Lonchura striata: one gene and its partner. The protein of the gene in region 1 purifies or fractionates together with the protein of each later gene. This does not show direct contact. Links are inferred from orthologs where the notes say so. Each region holds a gene or a part of one and is shown on either strand. Other genes may lie near its edges.

Region 1 (11,951 bases):
AAGCATCAATTTGAGCCTGGCTACACCCTTGGGGGTAGACGTCACCAGTTAATAAGAATTATGATTACTATCTGTCAAAAGACTCCTCAGAACTTATCGTTAGCAGTGGAAATTCAGAAGAATGTCATTGTTAGGATTTCTTTTTTTTTTTTTTTTTTTTTTCTTCCTGTAATCTAAGGCCACCTACATACTAAACTGCAACACCATTTGGCATCCTCACTGGAGGCATCTAAATCAATAGCCTTTAGCATGAAGCAGAAATTAGAATTACTTAACATGTAAAAGCATAGTATCTGACACTCACATCCAGAGAAATGTATTTATACCTTCAAAAGCCTATTATTTTCTTAACAGCATGCACAGAGCAAGTGTGCACTATTCTCCCCAGCTACAACTAACACAGATATAATGCTCTGTCATAAATCTTAAAAGCTTCCGAAGTATCACCGCCTACTGGGTACATAATTCTAATTGCCATACATACAGAACATTAAACCTTTATACATATGTTAAGGTCAAAGTGGGAACCTTAGTTCTCACCCACTTTAATCCTGCAGGTTTAATTGATTTTACTTAAAGTTAATTCCTAGTACACTAACTGAAATCACACATTCTCTTCAAAGAGCTCCTTAAAATAACATCCATTCTGCAGCAAATGATCTTCCTATACAGATACTGGCGTCTTCAGGGGTTACATTATGCCAAGAAGTTGTTGAAGAGAAAAAAATGCAAGAAAAAAATCTTGAAAGCACAAAGATCAGAAAAATCACCTCACAGAAAAATTGACATTCTTCTAAAACACAAGCCACAAGAACATTTGTTAAGCTACAGTACAGAACCCAGTCAAATACTAAGCTTGCTGTATCATCAGGTTATTTGGTGCATTATTTTAAAAAAATAAATCTGAAGGGCAGAGAAGCAACAAGGAGTGCATCACACAAGTTTGATGGAGTCTGGTAAACTCTGTGTTACTTCTTTTAATGGTGTTTTGAATTGAAACAAGCAAAAAACCTTCTAAATCCTTAAAGAATACCTACCCAGATTTGCAGATAGAAAGCTATCATGGAATTACAATGCCATCCTACCAAATATGGTATTTTTAGGGGAAAACAAAACAAACAAAAAAAAAATTCAAAGAGTTCAGAGTTACAAAAGCAAAATTCAACTCCGTAATTCACTTGCTTAATGAATGTCTTTGAATATACTGAAGATCTGAAGCCTGAACTAATCAATTTCTTCGCTGTGCCCTAGCCGGTCAGCCATGCTCTTTAATTTAATGAAACAAGAGTTTTAGATGAAATAGCACATACACATCAAGAAAGAATTGTATTGTTGCACTTTGAAATGTGTCCAACTGCGCAACTTCATCTAATGATAATTTTTTTAAGAGGCCATCGATTTCTGAAAGACTTATTGTACTAGCATCTTGATGAAAAAGTGAATGTCAGCATATCTACAGAATACTTACACCCTGCCATTAATGCTTTATTTGGCAGACAATGACTACTCAATTGAGGGTCCTCTGGGCTGTGCAATCATTTAGCTTTTCTTCTCTTATGAGGTCCTTAGTGTCTTGTTCCAGTTCAATACTCTTTTTATTCACCATTATAGTGGCCATAAGTGTGAATTTTATGGGAACTTGCAAACTCATAGTCATAACTAGATCTTTCCAAGTCACTAATCTGTTCATACCTCTATAAGGCTGGGATATGAGTAACTATGACTACATATGTTACACAGACACAGGATCAGTTCTACATGTCAGCGCCTATACCAGTAACAAAACAAACAAACAAAAAGAAACCCAACTCAAAATATCTCATACTTGCAAAGAACTGAACTGCATTTTTAAAATCACAGCTACAAGATCTTTTCTATTTATGCCAAAGTCTTTCAGAACCAATACCAAAAAAGGTGCTGCCACTTAACCTAATCTACACCTTATCTGACAGGAGGTAGGCAAAAGACTACTAATCAGGCTACAAATCAGGCTATTGATTCAGACACGATACCGTCATCTGACCATAAACAGCACAGATACATTTAAATGCACCAGACAGACTGCAGATTTTGCGGCTTCGAAAACAAAATGTCTTACCTGTTTGTGCATTTCAATGTTTAATCCATACGACATTTCATAGTACTGCAAATAAATGAGTACACGTTATTTTCTTATGCTGACTTACATTATATTAAAAGATATTTATTGAAATAAAGATAAAAACAAATATACTTACCATCACATAATGCCTCTGCATTTCCGTCTTTTCACTTGCCAGTTTCTCACATTCCAATTTAAGGCTACAAAATAGATCATGCTTTAATGTAACATGTCATTTTTTTTGGCATCTACCCTCCCTATTTGTATTTTGACATAAGCTGCTAATTAATAAAAAAAATAATAAACTGACTTGCAATATAGAAAGACTTAATCATACTTGAAATAAAAAGGCCAAAGAAGAAATTTAAAGAACATGCCTTGAGTGCTGTATTAGGCCTGAACTGTCTACAGAAACTAAACATATCCACTCTTCCTATTTTGACAAAGAGCTGCTATTAAGTGCTGCAACTTGCAAGTTAGAATAGGATCTGAATTTACTGTAAGTACTTTTCAGGAGTAAAAAAGATAAAAATAGAAGCATTTCTTTCTACACAGCATTTAGTAAGTGACTGCCAAGTAACACCACTCACATTTACAATTACAACTCGAGTATAATTCTTACCTTAAATACATTCTAGCAAATGTTACCTTGCCCAGTGCTTGAAAACTGGTAATTCTGAGTATCGTTTACTGGCAAGTTTCTTTTCCACTTTTGTTTTCATAAACAAAAGTAAGTTGCATTTACATGTCTCATCACAAACCATGATATAATTCTGACTACTTTCACCGAGAGCCTCAATGTTCCCTTTGTTTTCTATCAAACTGATTTTTTTAAAACTGTTACTTGTGAACATCCTATTGAACAGTTCATGTGCAAGCAGTATTTTTCACTCACAGCTACAAAGCCAGATGTTTAGAGTTTAAATTGTATTTCCTAAGCAATGAATGGCTTAAGCAAGTTAACGCTACAGTATCATAGGTAAAGGAAGAGGAAGCATAACTAAAACAAATCAATTTCTGACTGGGAAACCTGTAAAGCTTTTACTTCTGTCCAAATATTCCAGGTGCTCATAAGTACAAAATCAGTGAAGATTAATGCTCCTTAACACCACATGTCCAGGGTCAAAAAGAATCTGTACCCTAAATCTCTGGAAGGACCTCAGCAGCACGCACACACCCACAAAGAAGGGCAGCAACGAGACGTGCATCCCGCAACTTCCAAGGATTCTGGTAAACTTTGTTACTGCTCTGAGTACTTGTTTGTTTTAACCGTCCTTCCTGACTCTCAACCACAGGACGCTGGCATTTTATTAATTTTTGCATTAACACCACACACAAATGAGCAAACAGGAGAAGTAGCCTCCTTAACGCGCTGTGCCACAGAACCGGCGCAGGTCTTCCCGTGATACACTGAAATGACCCCTCCACATACGGGTTCCCAAGACACAGCGTGTTTTTTCAAACGCACAGAGCTGCCGAACGCTCCAGTTTCGGCAGTTCAAGCACGGGCCCGCGCAGGGCAGGGCTGTCCCCCGTGCGCGCCCGGTCCCCCCGGCAGCCCGCGCCGGGCCGGGGCCGCCCGCGCTCCCCTCCCGGCCCGGCGGGGTCCCCGCGGGGCTCGGCCGCGACGCCGCACGCCACCGCCTGGACGCGCCCGTTCGGTGCAGCCCCGCGCCGGCGGGGACCGCGCGGTAGTCCCTGGTCCCGGGGCGGCCCGCCGCCGCTCACCTGTGGTACTGCGCCTGGAGGAACTGGAACTCTTCTTTGATGCGGTCCAGCGACTCCGGGATGGTGAATTTAAAAGGCTGGCCCGCAGCCTGGTGCGGGGTCTGGCGCGGTGGCGGCACGGGAGAGAGATGCACGTTCAGACACTGCGCGGCCACCCCGCGAGGAAGAGGAGGGGGCGCCGTCCATCGCGGCCGAGGCGGAGGGCTAGAGAAAGCGTCCGGCCCGGTCCGCCTCCGCCCCGGGGCGCAGCGCACTTGTTACCCACCTTCCCGTCCCTCATCTGCGGTGGGACCGAGGTTAACCGCCCTCCGGATCCGACCCACCCGCTCCTGCCGCCGCCGTCTACACGAAAGCGGGAAGTGCCGACTCCTCCCCGCCGACCCCCGCCGCAGAGGCACAGCCAGCCCCGTTCCGGGCGCTGTGTGTTGGCGGATGCTGCCTGGCCCGGCGGCAAGCCCCCGCCGTCCTTCCCAAGGCAAGTAAGTTGCCCACGCAACAAAAAATACTGGGGGCCGTTCCGGCAGGCAGGATTAGCCGCTCGACCCCGGAGAGAATGAACTTGTGAGGGCACCTTCCTCTCCCTCCCCCCAGTTCCAGCCGAGCAACCGAGCTGGAGCTGCGCTGCGGACCGCCCGGCCCTCGCCCCGGACCGGCGGCCCAAGCCATACTTACGGGGTGCCGGCTCTGGGGGAACATGGCTCCGGCCACGGCGGGTCTCCCTCGCAGCGCGGCTCTCGCGGCGAGACGCCCTGCCCTGCCCCGGCTTCACACCCGGTGCGCCAAGGGGACCGGAGCGGCGACACCCGCCGACGGCCTTCCCTCCGCCGCCGCGGGCAGCAGCGGGGCGAGGCGCGGCTCAGTGCCCCCGCCGCGGGGACATTCCCCAGCCGCGGCGTCCTTTGTTGCTGTTGTTCCAAGGAGGGCTGAAGATGGCCGGGAAAGGCGGACGAGCCGCGCTTGGGACGGTCACCAGCGCTCTGCGCTCTTTCGGCGGCGCTCCGACCGGCGGGCGGCGCCCGCAACGCCCGGGCGCGGCGGGACGGGACCCGACGGGGCTCGGGGGGGAGGCAACAGCCGCCCCTCGGCAGGAGCGAATAATCCCCTTCACGGGCTCGCAGTGGTCGATGCGATTGTAAGGCCGGAAACCCCAGGCGGAGGCGACTCTTCTCTTCTGCCCCTTGTCAAAAGGGGAAAATCCAGCCGGAGGGAGGGGATCGCAGTGTCCGCGGCGGGAGCGTCGCAAGCCGAGGGGGCGAAGAAAGTCTCCAGGCAGGCACGCGTTGCTCCCAGGCGTCGGCGCAGGGGCCAAACCACCCGCAAGACACAGGGCGATGAACAAGGGAGGAAGGCAGGAGGAGGAGGAAGGAGGCGGGCGGGGGCTCTCGCACAGACGTCGCGGATCGGAGCAGCTCCAATAGCAGATGCACGAAACGCTGGAGGGCAGAGGAAAGGGTACCACACACGCAGCACAGACTCTGCCGTTAGTTGCAGAGAAGTCCCCAGGACAAAAGGAAAGCAAACCCCTCAAGATGCTCGCTGGCTTTAGCCTCCAGGCAACCAGCCCCGTTGGGGAAGATTAAAAAAAAAAAAAAAAAGAAAAAAAAAAATAGAAATGAAAGCGTTCGTTTGAGGTTCAAATCAGACGGGAAGCTCCTTCGTGCAACAGCCACCACTACAGCCTCTTACTGGCGGGCGCGTATCTGGGAGCTGCGCGTCTCACCAGAACCCCCCTATCGCGATACATCGCGGCAACATCAGCAGCATCATCCTCATCCTCGCTCTCCTCCGCGGTGGCCCGGGATAAAGTTCCTCCCAGCTGAAAAATCCGAACGGGAACACCACCGGCTTCCTTTGCCCCGGCCCCTCCGCGCCGGCCAAGGGCAAGGAGAAGCCGAGGCGGCGGCCTGGCGGGCGGCGCTCGGCGGGACCGGAGCGCGGCTGCGGCCGAGCTGGACACGCCGAGCTCGCCCGCGCCGCTTACATTAGCACGCGGTTTCACACTCCGCCGGCTAACCAGCCGCGCGGCCCCGCCCACGCCGCCGCGCGGGGGGGCGGCCGGCCAATCGCCGGCCCCGCCGCCAACGTGGGCCCGTGACGCGGCGCGGCCCCGCGGCCCAATGGCAGGAGCCGGAGTCGCGCCGCCTCCCGGCTCTCGCTGGGCCGCGTCTCTGCGGCGGAGCGGCGGCCGCGCTCGGAGCCGGCCAATGGGAGGGCGCGGGGCGCGCGGCGCCGCGGGGGGCGGGGAAGGTCGGCGGGAAGGAGAGCGGGGAGGCCGCGCTGTCCGTCAAAGTAACGTGGGGCCCGCGCGCGCGGGCGGGGCTGCGGCAGCGGGCGCGCGGCGCCTGCGCGCGGCGGCTCCGCCGGAGCCGCGGGGCGGCTCCGTCCGGCTCGGGCAGCGCCTCAGCTCCGCACCGCCCGCTCCCCCTGCGCTGCCCGCATCACACTGCCCGCTCCGCACTGCCCGCATCACACTGCCCGCACCGCACTGCCCGCTCCGCACTGCCCGCATCACACTGCCCTCATCACACTGCCTTCATCACACTGCCCGCATCACACTGCCCGCATCACACTGCCCTCATCACACTGCCTTCATCACACTGCCCTCATCACACTGCCCTCATCGCACTGCCCGCTCCGCACTGCCCTCATCACACTGCCCGCATCACACTGCCCGCATCACACTGCCCTCATCACACTGCCCGCATCACACTGCCCGCTCCGCACCGCCCGCTCCCCCTGCGCTGCCCGCATCACACTGCCCGCACCGCACTGCCCGCATCACACTGCCCTCATCACACTGCCCTCATCACACTGCCCGCATCACACTGCCCTCATCGCACTGCCCGCATCGCACTGCCCGCATCACACTGCCCTCATCACACTGCCCTCATCGCACTGCCCTCATCGCACTGCCCGCATCGCACTGCCCGCTCCGCACTGCCCGCATCGCACTGCCCGCTCCGCACTGCCCGCTCTGCACTGCCCTCATCACACTGCCCGCATCACACTGCCCTCATCGCACTGCCCGCATCGCACTGCCCGCATCACACTGCCCTCATCACACTGCCCTCATCGCACTGCCCTCATCGCACTGCCCGCATCGCACTGCCCGCATCGTACTGCCCTCATCGCACTGCCCTCATCGCACTGCCCGCACCGCACTGCCCGCACTGCCCGCTCCGCGCCCCAGCCCCAGAGCGGCGGCGACGCCCGTGACAGTGCGGCGGGTGGGTCGGGCGCACGGCCCCACCTCGTTCGCCAAACGGCGGCGGCGGGGCCGCGGCACCTGCTGACAACGCGCCGTGGAAAACGCCGAGGGAAGGATGAGCCCTCCCGCGTGCTTGCGCGACTCAGGGCACGCCAACTGCCGTGTTGGTTGGAATGACCCTCTGATCCCACGGAAGCTGTCCTTTGGGGAAAACTGCCTTCTTTTTAAGAGGGGTCTGATAGAGGAAAGCTGTCAATAACTTTGGTTTATAGGCCCACTTGAGATAGATGAGGGTCAAACAAATTCCACAGGCTCTGTGTGCTTGCTGAGGAGATGACAAATGGTGACATAGCTTGCAGTGGGAAGTACACTTCAAAACATATCCTCTATTAGCAAGCACCTTATTCATAGCAGAATTCCACAATGAAGTGTGAAATACCTCTGGACTTAAGACATTGCCTTAATACACACTTTTGCTGTTGGTATATACTTGTGTGCTGCCTAAAAAGAGGTCTTAGAATGTTGAACCACATCATTTAAACATGGTAAGGGTATTTTTTATAATTCCCCACTAGCCTTTAGAGATTGCTTCCTTAGAATTACATTGTGGTTCATCTTGTATCCTAAAGAAAGAGCATTCTGTGTTTAATATTTGATAGGAAATCTAATGTTTTGCAATATCAAAGTAAAGCTTTACTCCTTCAGAGTGATAATTTCCCATTATTATTCCCAAAATGTTCTGTATTCCCAGTTTTACTTAAAAACATCCAACACAAAAGGGAGTGAAATTGTCTCAGTCTTCTGCAGTGAAAAGTTTGGACTTTGTTCCAGGACAGCAGAGTTTTGTCAATGAGCACTGATACATCTGTGTCTCCGTGCATGTCTGTATATATGTATACAATAGGGTCTATATATAATGGGGTCTATATATAATGGGGTCTGTACCTATACATATGCTTGTATGTTTCTGTTAATGCATATGATGCATATATGCATGCATCCTGGGGAATGCATAAATAAACATGGACTTTTAATGGTTTCTAAGAGATGTGACAAAATATCCTTGATAGTGAGCTTTGATAGACTGTGGTTCCCAGGATGGGAGTGTAAACTTGTCTGGTGTTCCACCTGCATAGGCAAAGCTTAAAGTCTTGCATTCTGTTCCCAGCTCTTCCCTTGTTGTGTTGGACAAGCCAGCTCACTGCTCAGTTCATGGCAATGGAAAGCTTAATTACTTAATGCTTATTAAAGTACTTAGATCTTCAGATGAAAGGTGCCATAAAAATGCAAACTATGATTATATACTTTGTGTGTGTATCTAGTAGCTATGGAGTCTATAATAATGTAACAATTACCTAAGTTTTGTTGTACTTTGCTTAACCTGCTGGCACAAGTTGTTAAAGAGACATTGACAGATATGACATTAAAACAACACTAAGTTTTGGAACATAAACAAAAGGGGTTTGGTTTTTTTCTTAATTGCTCACCTACATGAAAGTTGAAATGTCATGTTACCTATATTTGTCAACATTAAAACATCCAAGGCATGTTTTAACAGAAGGAGAAAAGCTCTGTTTTCCTGGTTCTTATTAACAAGTGCTTTTAACCTTCTTTGATTCTGGAATCAGACACTTAAGGGCATTTTGAATCTTATCCATTGTATTTAAGAGAGAAGAGCTGTACAAGCAGAAGTAGAATCAAATGTGCTCTTTTTTTTTGTTTGTTTTTGTTTTTGTTTTGTTTTGTTTTTAATGAGAGCTACTGACATTACATAGCAGGAATTATAACCAACATGATCTGATGTTTAACTAATTTATAATGCATCATCACTGGCTCATTAAAGCATGAAAAAAATTCGTTTTGTTGGATGGGTATAAATCTGGATTAATTCCAGGAAACTGAACATTCTCGTTCCATGGCAATATTCACTATTTACTCCATAGAAAGGCAGCAAAATATGGTTAAGCATGTTGTATTCAAGTAGGTAGCATTCTGCCACAATGCTGTATATACTCTACACAATTCTCCAACTGGATTAAAAATACTTGTTTTTAAATTTCTGTCTCAGGTTTCAAAAATAAAAATATTTCCTTCAGTATTAACCCTTCCAACTGTTCTGCCCAGTCATCCGTTTTACTCTGTTGTTTGAAATAAATTGTTTTTTACTGTAAAAATGTTTGTGTCATCTTCCTACCTCATAAAGCAAAAGGCCTAATCCTAAACTGGCTACCAAAAATTCACACTGGAAGCAGTTGGAGTTTTGAGTGAAAAAAAAGCATGCTTGGGTCCAAAATGTAGGTTAAATACGCTGAAAGAGTTTCAGATGTAGCATCCATTCCTTAGCAAAACTATGATGTTCTGTTTATTGCATTGTTTATTCTTTTCCTTCACTGTTCATGGTACTTTTTATGAGCAATATTCTTTTAACTTTGTGCAAACTGGCATATTAAACAAAGATGTTGATGAAGTTAATCACTAGGTGTTAGCTGCAGGTGAGAAGTAAACAATATAGTATGTTTTGTCCTACTCTTCTACTCTATATATAGTAAGAGCAAGTCAATAGAGGAGACAGTTCTAGAATTCAATAGAGTTTATGCTTTCAAAGTTTTAGATAGATCACTGGATTTTCAACTGAAAAAGAAATATGCATGTGTTAAGGGGCATGGGGGTTATTCTGTTTTGTTTGTTTGTTTTAGGGTTTGGTTTGTTTGTTTTGGGATTTGGTTTGTTTGTTTTAATGCCAATGTGGTGTAGGTAAAATAGAAAAAAAACCCTGAATCATGCAATACATGTGGTATAGTAGTGACTGACTATACAGTTGAAAGAATAGTAATTATTATAAGGACATGCAAAACAATATCACTTTTTAAATATTCATATATTTGTGAAGTGCAAATGATGTGAGCAGGGTAAAGCAATTACATTTCTAATTATTTGCTGTCTTTTGGCTAATAGCCATTCCATACCCTCTTAGTAATTTGATTTCTTTTTAATTAGTAGCTTTCCTTGTAGGCAAGAATGTTCAAAAAGTTGCACTAGGTCATTTTACCATTATGACTGTATTCATTTCCCTCATTCCTTCACCCTTAAAAAATCCCTGAGCTGAATTAAAAAAAAAAAACAAGTCAGTAGCAGGTCGTGCAGCAGTAAAACCTCAAATAGAATCAGATCCAAAGAATCCCTTTTGGCTTCACACAGTATGGTAAAATTAGAGATTGCAGGAAACAAAAAAAAATTAGACTGGGAACATCTGAAAAGAAATGACCAGGCTTTATGAAAATGACACATTGACTGGCCAGTGTGTTTTTTTTTATCGATACTTTCTTTGTTGAGGCATACATCAAAGAAACCTGCATATGTTTTCATTTTGTTCTAAGTCTAACTAGAAAATTACATCCAGATGTTTAATAGGCATTCTGTTGGTTTTCTGCATTGATTAGATATGTTGGTACTGTTTGCTTACAAGTGTAGCCGGATCATTAGCTAATGCAAAGAAATGTTTGTAGCGAGTTGCTAATTAGGTCTTTTGGAAACTCTCCATACTAAGGAACAATTTGTACAGTGGCCAGAAAAACTTGCGGTACTTGAGAAGTCATTTTCCCTTCTGTGTCTGGGAAAAAACAGTCAGTCGCTTTCCCTAATCTTCTTTTGCCTACAGGGATTGCAGCTTGATCCCAGTGGGTTGAAGTGCAAATAAATTAGGAAGAGACCACACACATTCACATACGCGCGCACACACATGCACACACACACACACACACACACACACACGCACACACACTCCCCACACACACTCCCCTCTCCTCCCCCAATCTGCTCCTTTAGTCAAAAGTCAGTTGTGTAATCTTACATAAAGCTAGCCAAAATGGAGTGCTTAAAACTGAAATGTGTTAAATTCTCAACATTCATGTTATCAAATACACAGCATTTTGGAGCATACTTTAGAGACAGATGGGGAAGCCCTTTATGATAAATGAGTGTACTTGAATTCATTACTGTGGTACTTATAATTAAAGTAGCTCTTTCTCAACTTCACTACTTCTGCAGGGTACTTCCAGACAAAGCTTAGGGAAAGTGTATACATGGATGACAGAAGAGTGAAAGAGGAGCAGAAGAACTTTAATCATCTGTGTTTTGTTAAGTCTGAAAAGAGGTCAGACGTATTACCTGTTTACAATATTGACAGAGAAATTGTTGTAGACTTCATGGCTCTGGCCTGATAACCTTCTAGGTGCAAAGTCACCTTTCAAAGGCTGCTTGACAATGTCAATGACCTTTTTAATAAAGACCACTTGCCAGTGCAGAATGAGGCCTCCATTGCAGGAGGTGACAACTAAAGGAGCAGTTTGTGTCTATTTTGTACAGTAAATGATCATGGTACGATCATACCAGCTCCCTGATCCTATCATCACACACATGGCAAAGTTTTACTCCTGGAAGTAGTCCCTTTGAAGTCCATGACAATACTTGCTTGAAAAAAGATGTCTTTGTGTCAGACTTCACCAGATCAGGGCCATGCATACAGAATAGTAGGTTGTGTGTGACATACATATGCAAAACACGTGTTTTTACCAATGTCGTCATGCAAGTCTAGAAGTTTTATCGGCCTTTTCAGGAGCTAAAAGGAAAGGTTGCCACAAAAGAACAGTTAATCATTGCACTTCAGTGGACTAGTTGTGGTATACTATTTTTCCTTGCCTGGCAAAATACTAGAACTTTTCCATCCTGTTTTGGTTCCATATATATAGTATTTTGACAGGTTTAATAGGAAGTTTTTCTCCTTAAGCTGTCAATAACATTAGAAAGAGTCTACAGATCACCAAAGACTCTTAGACTTAAAACCACAGGGGAAATAGCATTGAGGCAAATGGTCTTGTGGAAATTATGCTTTCAAAACATTTGTGGAAATGGCTG
Region 2 (11,959 bases), on another chromosome or scaffold:
ATCCTAGAAATGTACATGTTTTAAAAAATCCTAAAAGCTTAGCTTGAGGATTTGACACATAAATCATTGCGGAAAAAAGTATCAGATAACAGAAATGCTGTATGCTAAACCACCCCCCTAAAAATAACCCAATCAAACCACAAAAAACCCATCACTACCAAACACACACACCCCCCCCCCACCCCCACCCCCCACCCCCCAACAATAAAGCAACAACAAAAAGAAAAACAAACAAGCCACTACCTCAAATTCAGTGCCGAACGAGCCTGGGCAACGAACAGCCTCAGCGAACAAAAGGGTTTCTCTGTCTGAGGAGCAGGCAGAGGTAAAGAAATATCTGGGGCCTTAGAAGTCCTGACACAATCCAGGACAAGTTTAGCGATTTCCTGGTGTTATTTTATTTTTGTTTTGGATTGTACTTATTTTTCTTCCTTTACAAAAATAGTCTAATTCCTGGTAACGTGCATGGAAACATGAATAAATTACCATCTCAGCAATCACCCCTGCGCCCGGTGTAAGAGAAAGAGTGAAAAGTCTGTGGCACCTGAACTCCTTAGGCAATACTTTGCAACACCGAGCCTAAAGGAGAGCTCTGGGAGCGAGTGCTGGCTTAAACTAAGTCTAGAGAGACATACATCAAGGCTACCCTTTCCAGGAATTATTGTGCATCATGCTTATCTAATTAATGCTTATTAGCCAACCTCAAACTCTGACATGGTGAGATTGTGCTTTCCTCCAGCCTGATCTGTCTCTTTCCTCCCTTCAGTACACTGACAGCAGATTTATTTTTTACATTGCAAACAAAATAATATTTTACGTATGTGCCATTGGATTTCCTACAGCATACAATCAGATGCAAGTGGTAAATAATAAATCATTTTCTTTGTCAGCTGCAGCAGATGCTGCTCTTTTAAGTTGTTTAGGCATTAGTACACAGAATGAGGACTCTAGGCTTCAAGTATTTAAATCACACCTATTGTATTTTATTATTTCCTATAGTTTTGTTGAAAAAGAGTTTTTGATTTTTTTTTTTTTTTTTTTTTTTGCATCACTTGTTTTAATGACAATAGAGTCAAGAAAATGGGGGAGGGTAGGAGCTTCCAAGTGGTGGTATCATCTCTCCATCCCCAAACAAAGCAATCGTTTTCTCATAGTGATGATTAATTTTGAATTGCAGGAGTGAGAGTGAAAGCTAAGAATATCAGAGAGTTCTCTCCTTCTCCCCCACACAGTGCAAAGCAGGGTGTCCCATCTCTCATCCATAACCTTTCACTTCTCTCTCTTTCCTGTAGATCTGTTTGCATCTGTTTATATATTACTTATTTTCGGGAGATACCCTCTTCCTCCCCTTATTCTTTCAGCACGACAAATACACGTTTGCGAGAATTCAGATTTTCTACTGCTTCATTATTCACCCCCTGGCATTTTTTTTCCTTTTTCTTCCTCTTTTCTGTCTTTCCAAGATAAGCTCTTTAAAGCGTTTGCGATAACATCTCCGACCTAGAGATTATTTTTCATTCGGCCTATTGTGAGCAGTCGCCGTTTTATTGCACTGCTGCAGAGCTCAGTTTGGGCTACAAACGTAACAAATGAACAACTTGTCCTCTGCGGACTCACCGCGGGATCCAATTAGTTCCTAAACCTTTTGCACAAGTTTTCTAATTATTTTCAAGAGTTGTGGCCTTTACAGGCTTCCCTAAACTCATCAAGACACCAATTCTTTCGAGGATTAAATGCGTCTTAAAATTACTAGCAGCGTTGCCCCCTCGAAACTAAGAGATTGATTCTCCGGGCAACGCAGCTTTCTTAGGGACGCCCGCGTGAATTACTGGGCTTCAGCGGGCACTGAGAGAAAAAGAGACGAGTTTTCAAAACTTTACATGTAAGTGCATCCACACAGGTTTGATTTGTTGATTTATTTTTGTTTGTTTGTTTGGTTGGTTGGTGGTTTTTACCCCCTAAAACGTTTAAACATCGGTATGCAAGGCGGGGTGTCACGTGAGGCCCCGGCGCCCTGCCTCCCTGCCGTGGACTGCGCCTTCACCTCGCCCTGCTCGGCTCCTGCCCCCCCGCCCGGCCGGAGGGGCACAGCGGAGAGCCGGCTGCCAAAAAATACCGCTACTTGCACCATTCCTAAAGCCAAAGTGTCCGCAGCACGGAAAGTACATAAATACATACAGCCTAGACACTTCCGGAAGAGCCCTCCTTTAAGACAAGGGTTATATTTTATACACACACATATCATAGCTGGTTAAATTTGGTCGAACGATCATATTATAGCTGATATGTGTGTGTGTATACGCACACATACACATCCTTTGCTAATATATCTCGAATCATCAGAGACGAAATTAATTTATTTCAGTACAGTAAGTCTTTGAATGCATTTCAGAGATTGCAGGAAGAACACGTACGTATAGAATAATGCACCTTGGCCTTTTTCCCAACGTGTGCTTATATACTTAAATTGTATACGTATGCATGTATATTTGCATACATATGCAATGCTAAGCATTTTCAGCCTAAGTCAGATTTTAGTAAAACACCCTGCCTCCTACTAACAATTTTAAAGCAGATTTTATAAGAGTTCTGCCCCAAAATGGACATCAAAATAGTGGCCGTAGTGATTGACTAAATACCTTGATCCTTTACATTTGAAAATACTGCAGTTAAAGACAGCATGGGAGGGGGCGGGGGGAGAAAGAAAGGAGCATGTGAAAAATGGTGGACTGTGCAATAAGCAGCACTCTGATCTCACTGTAACTTTAAAGCCTCTGCCACATTAAGGTTAATAAAAGAGACAAAAAAACTATCAAGTATATATGAATTTAGCCTATTTTTTTATTTCTGTGTGTTCATAGTAAACATTTTTGTAAGTGACAAACACGGGCATATGACCACAGTATCACAATCAAGAAATTTTAAGACGACATTAACAATCACTCAAATTTATGCGGCTTTTGCGCAACACAGGTTACATATTTGCAAGGTTTACCTATAAGTACAATAGGTATTAACATTTCACTACATTTAGAAAAAAAATAAAGGTGACCTGTTAGTGACCACATACATCAAAATATACACAACACAAACTGAAGGCAATCATTAATTTTGTCCCCTTCTGATTCATTTGAACGGGCAGTGCTGAAAACTGAAATAATGTTGCTGTTTTTTAAATTACTTCGTACACTGAGTGCATTTTCTAAAACCCAATCTTTGGTCTAAAAGTAAACAAACAAACAAATGAACAAAAAAAGAAAAAAAAAAAAAGCAATTCGGTAAAGAAAAAAATAAAATAATAAATGGCCAAAACTAGATCTTGGGCATTTTTCAGTATTAATTCTGCTTAAATACAAATTATGTTTTAAGGTTTCTTTAATAGTTTTCATAAATTTAGTAGTTTGATTTGGTTTTTTTTTTTCCTTTCACGGTCTGCACCCACCGACATATCCATGATAACTTATAATACTGCAAACATGGAGAATCGGGTGGCTTTTAGTGATAGACTTATCATATTTGAGTAAAAAAATTGCAAAAGCAGTCACTATTTAGATACACATTCTACTATAATTTTGTCTTCCAAACTTCATAGTCTACAATGCAATCTCCCCACATTGCACCTTGCTGACACTCCTCACCTTGGTGGAATAATAAACAACCCTAAAGACTGAACAAACGTACAGAAAATGGGGGACTTAATAAAAAATACCTGGACTTTTTTGTTTTGCTTTTTTTTTCCTTTTAATTATCATTTACAATGCAAATGTGTGTAAAATGTTCACTTACAGTCTGATCCCATGGATGTTAATGTATTAAAGGGTTTGAAGAAGACCCCTGATTTTGATGTGTGAAATAATCAGAAAGTCCTCCGGAAAGTCCCGTTGTAAAACTTGGCAAAGAAGGTCTTAAGGACTCACAGGGGAGAGTGGAGGGCGCCTGTGGCGACGTGGAGGAGGAGGCTGCCCTGGCCGTCATTGAAGTGCTGCTTTGAGAAGTCATTGAAGGGTGAGGAACATGGGGGAAAAAGTAACTCGTCTGTCCTGCTAGGAGATTTACAGAGCAGGGATTTAGGGAATAGGTGCCGGAGCAGGGAACTGACAAGCCACACGGCACTGAGGCGGCCAGAGCTGCTGCTGTGAGGTGATGAGTGGCATAAGGTATCTCTCCATTGACTAGTCTATCAACACTTAACCCATTAGACGTGGAAAAGGAGTGGTTGTTTCCCAAGGAGTTTTGAGTCAACACTGAGCTGTAGGGCATGGGGTGGCTGGGGTAGGCGGACGTGGTCCCATTGTAACTCAAAGTGCTGCTGGCCCGGGGGTGGTGCAGGGAGAGGAAGGGGGACATAGGCCAGTACAAGGATCCTGCCCTATCCATGAATGTCAGTCCGGTAGAGGTGAGCCGGGCGCCCCGCTTAAAGGCCAGCTTGGCCCGAGAGGTGGTGGAGCGCCGGCGGAGCTTGCCGGTGGTGCCCCCGATGAAGACGTCGTCGCTGGAGGGGTCCAGCATCCAGTAGTTCCCTTTGCCCGGGTCGTCGTAGTGGCGGGGCACCTTGACGAAGCACTTATTGAGCGAGAGGTTGTGCCGAATGGAGTTCTGCCAGCCCTGCTTGTTCTCCCGGTAGTATGGGAAGTTCTTCATGATGAACTCGTAGATGCCATTGAGAGTGAGGCGCTTCTCGGGGCTCTGCCGGATGGCCATCATGATGAGCGCGTTGTAGCTGAACGGCGGCTTCTCGTACTTGCCGTTCTTTTTCTCCCCCTCCTTCCCGCTCTCCCCGTCCTTGGCCCCCTCCGCCGCCCCCTTCTTCTCCTCGGCCGCTTTCTCCTTCTCCTCCAGCTCCGCTGCCGCCGCCGCCGCCGCGCCCGCTTCGCCTTTGCCCGCCAGCATGTCCGCCTTGGCCACCTCCAGGGCGCCGGAGGCGGTGGCGGTGGGGGGCGGCAGGAGGTGCTGCCCCTTCTCCTCGTCCTCCTCCTCGGCTGCGGCCGCTCGCTGGGGCTGCTGCGGCGGCGGGTGGTGGTGGTGGTGGTGGTGATGGTGGTGGTGATGGGGGTGGTGGCTGTTGTGGTGGCTGTGGCTGCTGTGGTTGTTGTCGCTCTGGACGGCTTCGGGCACCAGGCTGTTTATGCTAAAGGAGGATTTCGGCAGCATTTTCACTTCCTTCCTATCTCCCATGTCCAACATCACACACTAGTCTGAGGGGGAAAGTTGCGGCGGCTGAGGGAGCTGCGCGCGGGGCGGCGGCGGAGGCGGCGGCCGAAGCGGTGGCGGTGGCCGAGGCGGCGGCGGCACCACCGGCGGCGGTGGCGGCGGCGGCGGCAGCGCAGTTGGACCGCAGTCTCAAGCGCTGGCAAGTCATGTAGCACGGACAGGAACCGCCGGGGAGGGAAAAAATAATGGTAATAATAATCACCGATCAGAGAAAAATCAAACCGAGCCGGAGCGGAGGAAAAAAAATAAAAAAAAGGTAGAAAAGGAAAAAAACCTTCTGAAACCTAAAGAGAAAAAAAAAAAAAAAAGGCAACAACACACAAACACAGACACACCAAAAAAAAAAAAAAAAAAGCTACTTCATGGTGCCCGGTTCCCCCGGCACGGCAGCGCAGGGGGAGGCAGGAGGGAGCAGCAGCCGCCGCGGGCCGGCGCGGAGCGAGGCAGACGGGCGATACAGCCCGCCCCGGCCGCAATTAATTTCAGAGCTGCCGGCACGCACCGGGGCTGTAAAACATTTTTTGGTTTAACCTTTCCCACCGGCCGCCCAATCAGGGCCGGCGGCGTGCCCGCGCGTCTGCCCGCCCGCCGGCCAATGGCGGCGCGCCGCCCCGCCCCGCCCCGCCCCGCGCGCCCCGCCCCCGCCGCCGCCGCGGCTCCCGCGGCGCAGGGATACCGGCGCAGGGGCGCATCACCGCGCGGTGCGCGCGCCCCCCGCCCCGTGCCCCCCCGGCCGCCGCCGCCAGCACAAATCCCCCCGCGCCCAACAACCCGCGCCCGTCCCGCCGCGGCGGGCCCGGCCCGGCCCGGCCGCTCCCCCGGTTCCGCCGGCGGACTCGAGTTGCCACGATCCGCTTTGCCCCTTCCTCTGGCGACGAAGGAGGCGGGGTGGGAGGCCGGGTGGGTGAAGCGGTCGTGGCACATCGGTGGCGGCGGAGGTACTACTTCGCGGATCCCGCCGAAGTCGCTCGGCGAATTTATTTTCCCAGGCCCGGCTATTTCTGTTTGTTATTTTGCCGAGGCAGAAAACAAAACAATCGTCCGGAGGGGACGCGGGCGGCGGGACCCGCCCGGGCTGCGGCAGCGGCCGGGGCCCGGACGCCGCTGCCCGCGGCCTGCCTGGGGAAGACCGGGCCGCCCGGGCCGTGCCCGCCGCTCTCCGGACTGTGAGTTGGGCGGCTCGGGAGCGAGCGGCCCGTCTCCTGCCCTGCTCTCGCCCCGTGTCACCGAGGCCGGAGCCGGGCTTCGCGCTTCCCGCCCCTCAGCCCCGCGCCGCTGCCGCTCGGGCGGCGCTTCCCCCGCGCGGCGCCGGGCTGCGGCCGCCTCCTGCTCGGCGCTGCCGGGCTGACCGAGCCAGCGCACAGGCCGCGCACGGGCGTACAAAATAAATGTTGGTGTTGGTAGCCCATGAAATCGACACTGCGGTTTCCTGCCGGCCCGGCCCGTGGGCCTGGCCACGGGGTCTGAGTTCCGCGGGGTTTAGTTTTGCTGGGATAAGGGATAGGGCGGGCGGCAGCAGGCCGGGTTCTCCTGGGGAGGGAAAGGGTCTGGCACCGCCGCTTTCCACAAGTAGACGCGGTGATACAGGCTCGGGTTTACGGCTGCGCTTTGCCAGGACCAAAGGGTTGGGTATTAATCGTCCACACCATATCGGTTTATACTGTCAACACGGGAACAAAAAAAAAAAAAAAAAACCAAAAACAAGCGAAAACAAAGTGAAATACATCGCGCAGCTTTCTTAACTCGGAAAGAAGGGGAAATGTAATGGACAGAGAGCGTGCTGATCGCATTCAGACCAAAGCTGTGGTAAACCTCTAGCACCGCGTTAAGCTGCTTCACGTTTGTGCTGGAGGAAAAGATGCTCCGTAGAAACAATGCGTGCAGCTCAACCCCAGCTAAAACAACTTATCCCAAGGAAATTCAGGTTAGAGCACAATGCAATGAATGTAGTTCTGTGCAGATGTGTAGACGCGCGTTTTATATATGTGTTTGTGTATGTCTGTGTACGAGGGAGGGAGGAAAAGCGAGTGTGGGAAAGAGAGTGTAAATAACGAGGACAAGTAAAATGGACCGGTAATAAACAATTGCAATTGGGGATGGCATGAACTCTGGGCATTGGATTAACCTCGAATGACCTTACCACAATTGTATTTATTTAACCAATTTCATAACAGGTTGCTACTGACACACACACACACAAGTTAATGATCAACAACCACTCTTTTTTTCTTTGTTGTTTAGTTTGGATTTTTTTTTTTTTTTAGAAATTCAGGTTGTTTGTTTTGTATTTTTTTTTTATCAAGACAATTTATAATTATTTCGTTTCTCAACACTGAAGTCAATGTATGGGATTTCTTGACGAAGAGTGCAATGAGGAGGATATTATCTGACTTTACCATAGCAAGGGGTAAGAGGAAAGGTAAGCTTCCTGCGTATTATTATGATTATGATGATCATTAACTAATATGTGTCATTATGGTGCACTAGGATCCCATTAGGGTGGCTGGGCCCAGTGCGTTTTCCTACTCGGTCTAGCATGTAATGATTCGGTGTAACCAGATTCTTGAGAAAGGACAGGTTACATAAACATTTACTGATGTGGAGTAACTATACTATTTGTACTCTGATATGCAGGAAGGAAAGTGTTGATTAACACAGAAGAAAAAAAAAGCGAAATTAGCTGATTGCATGCTCATAAGTGCAAGCTGTCATTGAACTGCTTTTAAAATAGACACAGCTGGGTGTTTGTGTTGAAAAATTTCTTGTGTTTTTGCTAATACTGAAATAAGCATGATTTTGTATACCAAACATTTTCAGATCATTAAAATTTGTAATCTGTGGTGGTTTTAAACACAAAGAAAAGAAACAGATTCATTTCGTTGTAAAATTTGCTGATATTATATTAACTCAATCAGGTCTGTACAAATGGTGTATTGTGCCTTATCAAATCTCTTTGATCCATTTAATACACAAAGTGCCAAACGTGTGTATTGTTTGTTAACATTGAACGTTTTATTCAAATCCCAGCTCTGTAGCGAACTGGAGGAGTTCTTGTTTAATGTAACACTGACATTGCCTGTTGAAATTTTAATGCCTTGAGGTGTTTCTTAGGTCAAAGCTGAGTTTACTTTGTGTTGTGATCAGCGATGAAAATGTAGCAGGGAAGAAAATAGAAGTTTTATCTTTTTTTGCATTTCCGAGCAAAAGGCTAACACTGCAAGAAGCACACTTTAAAAACATTTGACGATCTAGATTTAACATTTGGTCATTTGTTATGGGTGCGGAATAAAACTCTGTGCACAAACTTAGGATTTATATATATATATTTTTTTAATGCTGTGAATATACAGTTCTACCAAAAAAGGAAATGTTTGTCCAATATGTAGTACATATCTTTTTACGTCCATGAAGATTAATTCATTGTTTACGGGAGAGAAAAAGATATGTGAGAGAAGCCACGTCAATTATAACTGGACTTTAACTTTCGAGTTTTTTTTTTTGTTTGGTTTTTTTTTTTTTTTTTGGCAGAAAAGGCATCGTTTATAAAACTATTTACTTTGGAAATGCAGGAGTCTTACTCTAATGCCAGTTCCTTCCTGAGCTCTGCCCTGAACACGACTCCACTTCAGTGGTACCTTTGTGCATCGGGGCGCTGTATGAACAGCAGGTTTGACCGCTCAACTCTGGCTAAACCCGAATTCTCTTAAGAAAACCCCTCATGGCAGCATTTTCTAACAGGGCAGGGTTTGTGGAGTGTTTGGAATAGAAGCTTGTGCGTGGAACGGAGGCACACAGCCCCAGCCCTGTGAAATACGGGTGGGTGTGCAGAGGGGAGCCGGCTCTCTGCAGAGTGTTAATGATGCCTCACCTGCACGTTCAACGAGGCTGCGGATCCACCGAACCGAGCGGCGGGGATGGACTGAGGGTATCCACTCCGGGGTCAGGATGGGGCTGAATAGCTGAGCTGAAACGTCCTGGCTGAAGTGCCATTCAGCAGCGATCTCCGTGCAGCTCTTGGGTATAACTCTTAGGGATAATGTTTCAACCACATACTTTTCTGCCCACGCCTTCCCCCCTACTTTTTTTTTTTTTTAATTTTATTTTTATTTCGTTTTAAAATTAAAGGCCAAAAGAAGAAAACACCCTCTCCAATGTACACTTAATGCATATAGCGTACTTCCCTTGCACCGCCCCCCGCCCCAGCTTCAGCCTTCAATCCCCCTTCACACGGGTATAGTGGCTCGGTACTCTCGGGCTTTTTCAAGGCGGTTAAGCTGCTAAAATGTACTGACAGCTTAAGAAATGAATGAGATTTTTTTTTCAGCCATGAAGAAAGGGTATTTAGTAACCACGCTTCGATGGCATCATGCTTCCATGAAACGAGTCCGGACACTTTGGTTTAACAATCAGTAATATCATATTCGGTACAGTAAATGCCTCCATGTACGCTTATATAATTCTATTCCCCCTTGACTATAAGCTTGCCGTATTTATTCCAGGTTACCTGGGCAATTAAGGTAAGGACTGCTCAGCAGATACTGATATCCTGCTGCTAAGGCATGGCGAATGGGGACGGAGCAGTGCGCTAACAAAGAGAGAGAGGTAGTCAAACATTTTGAAGAGGGGTGAATGGGACTGAAGGTGGATGGATGAATGGAGGCAAAGAGGGAGAGGAAGAAGCATTCAATGGTCCAGACTTCTCTCTGCATTTGTAGATTTAAGTTTAGGTGTCCGCCTCTAGCCAGCTTCCAGTTAATCCTCAACAGCTTCTAGTGATTAGAAGTTAGTCTATTTAGCATGCTATATCCTTCTTCCATGGGTTTTAGTTACAAGTTATACGATTAGGATTGCGAGAACAGTAGTGAACTAAACTTCCCAGTAAGAGGTCTTCACACCAGGGAAGTGTTACTTTGCTGCAGCAGCCCTGCCTCGTCAGTCATTAGGAAGCTGCAGGTTGTCAGAGGCTTCTCTTGCGCGCACACAAGCGCAGACACACACGCGCACACACACAAAACCACAGCACTAAAACTAAATTAAGAAGCCGATGATTAAGACAAGCGTCTACAAGGCCTGTCATTTCAGCATCCTTCCATCATAACATTGTGGCACCGAGAAATTTGCTTGAAAACCCTGGAAAAAAATGTCTATGGGAGAGCCTCGTATTTGAGGCTGTTAATATCAAATATAGACTGGGAACTGCCTCGGATGCAAGATAGTATTCCGCAGAGGAAAGGAGCACTGCAGAGACCTTGGTGCTATCCGCGCGTTCCCGAAACTCTGGTAAGTATCTCTCCCTTCTATTGCAGCAGGTACGCACTGTGTAACTGGAACTGGACCGGGTTTGAAATCCGCAGCTATGTTCCCTTCTGGGAAATGCCCCTAAAGATAAATCTGTAATGAAAGGTCCTTACTGGATGACTAATGGTTATTGGCAGTCGGTGCCCCTTTGAGGAGAGCAGCACATATTGTGCCGAAGACCTTGCAAGCACACTTTAAATACAAACCTTTTAAGTTTCCCTCCCATGCATACACATCCCTGTTGTTTTTGGGCTAGCTGTACTGTGTGTCTCCCCCCTGCCCCCCCCCCCCCCCCCATTTAAGCTCTCTAGTCTTCCCTCCCCCCACCCCATTCAGAACTAATTGCTCAGTTACTTAAATGTTTCAAAAAGAGCTAAGTTTCTCCATCCGATGATCTTTTGAGAGGCTGCACTGTACCAAAAAGAACCGCCAGCGGGGCACTGTATACCTTGGAGAAGCCTGAGCAACTAGGGGAGAGGTAGAGTTTAAAACAATGACATTAATAAACTAAGTGCACTGAGTTCCCTCCCGTTGAACTTTAGGGAGTTTCTTGGGCGGGCAGAGGTTCAACGGAGAACGTCGAAATGGGAAACAATGGCTGTAGGGGCCAGAAAGCTTTGCTGATGTCGTAAGCGTAAAACAAGACAGAATAGTGACAGAAAGAGATCCGGGTAAACATTGGAGTATACATTTCCCACGGCGACTACGCTGAGTGGAGAGGTCTGAATTAAATCGCCTTAATTAAAAGCTGAAGATTTTATTTATTTATTCCTGTAGCTATAGAATGCCATCCACAGAAAGCCTATCTAGGGAGTGTAGAGCATCCACTAGATTTATTGTGTTCAGCTGCCACTGCCGGAATTTTTCAGAACAGAATATTTTTATACTCACTGCCAACTTGAAGACCTGCGGGCTTTTAGATCCTATATATCGCTTTTAAAAAATATGCCGGTGTGCAGAAAAGAGCCATTACACCTGCACAGGCAGTAGGTCTGTCTTGTGTAACACAAGCTCTCCTTAATTCAGAAATCAAACAAAAATATAAAATATCCTTTAAGAATTATCCACAGCGTTATGCAGACGATTATAATAAAATGCAAGGGAGAAATGTAAAAGTTAAAAACCTAGTTCTGTTCTCCAGATTTAAAGACATAATTTTATTTCTGTTGGGTTTACTGTTAAAATGTTCTAGGCCGGTGCTTTTGTCGGCGTTGTGATATTGAAGCAAAGAATGTGAAATAAAATACAGGGGGAAAAGAAAGACCTGGGGAGAAAAAAGAAAAGCAACAAAACAAACCCCAAGTAGTGCTTGAAGAAGACCTCTAGCTGCTCTTTGACTCCTAAGAAACTGTTGCTGGTATAATTTCATGGTGTTGTTCTAAAGCTCTTCAGCCTCCTATAAACGTAATCTTTGGCAAATGACACACGAATCTGGCTTTGCAGTTTTTCG

What was found.
Region 2: the proteins of transducin-like enhancer protein 1 (region 1) and FOXG1 purify together in Homo sapiens (affinity purification with western blotting; 3 studies listed by BioGRID and IntAct, with this or other methods). This does not show direct contact. The link is inferred for Lonchura striata from reciprocal best matches to the Homo sapiens genes TLE1 and FOXG1.

The regions. Positions count from the first base shown.
Region 1 is NC_134642.1:25,608,218-25,620,168, forward strand, and holds the start of transducin-like enhancer protein 1, read right to left. Parts: upstream 4,859-11,951; 5' UTR 4,526-4,858; coding exon 4,502-4,525; intron 4,184-4,501; exon of another isoform or gene 4,110-4,183; coding exon of another isoform or gene 4,095-4,109; intron 3,931-4,094; coding exon 3,830-3,930; intron 2,302-3,829; coding exon 2,238-2,301; intron 2,144-2,237; coding exon 2,099-2,143; intron 1-2,098. UniProt on the Homo sapiens protein: Transcriptional corepressor that binds to a number of transcription factors. Inhibits NF-kappa-B-regulated gene expression. Inhibits the transcriptional activation mediated by FOXA2, and by CTNNB1 and TCF family members in Wnt signaling.
Region 2 is NC_134608.1:27,997,696-28,009,654, forward strand, and holds FOXG1 (forkhead box protein G1), read right to left. Parts: upstream 5,660-11,959; 5' UTR 5,185-5,659; coding exon 3,805-5,184; 3' UTR 2,818-3,804; downstream 1-2,817. UniProt on the Homo sapiens protein: Transcription repression factor which plays an important role in the establishment of the regional subdivision of the developing brain and in the development of the telencephalon.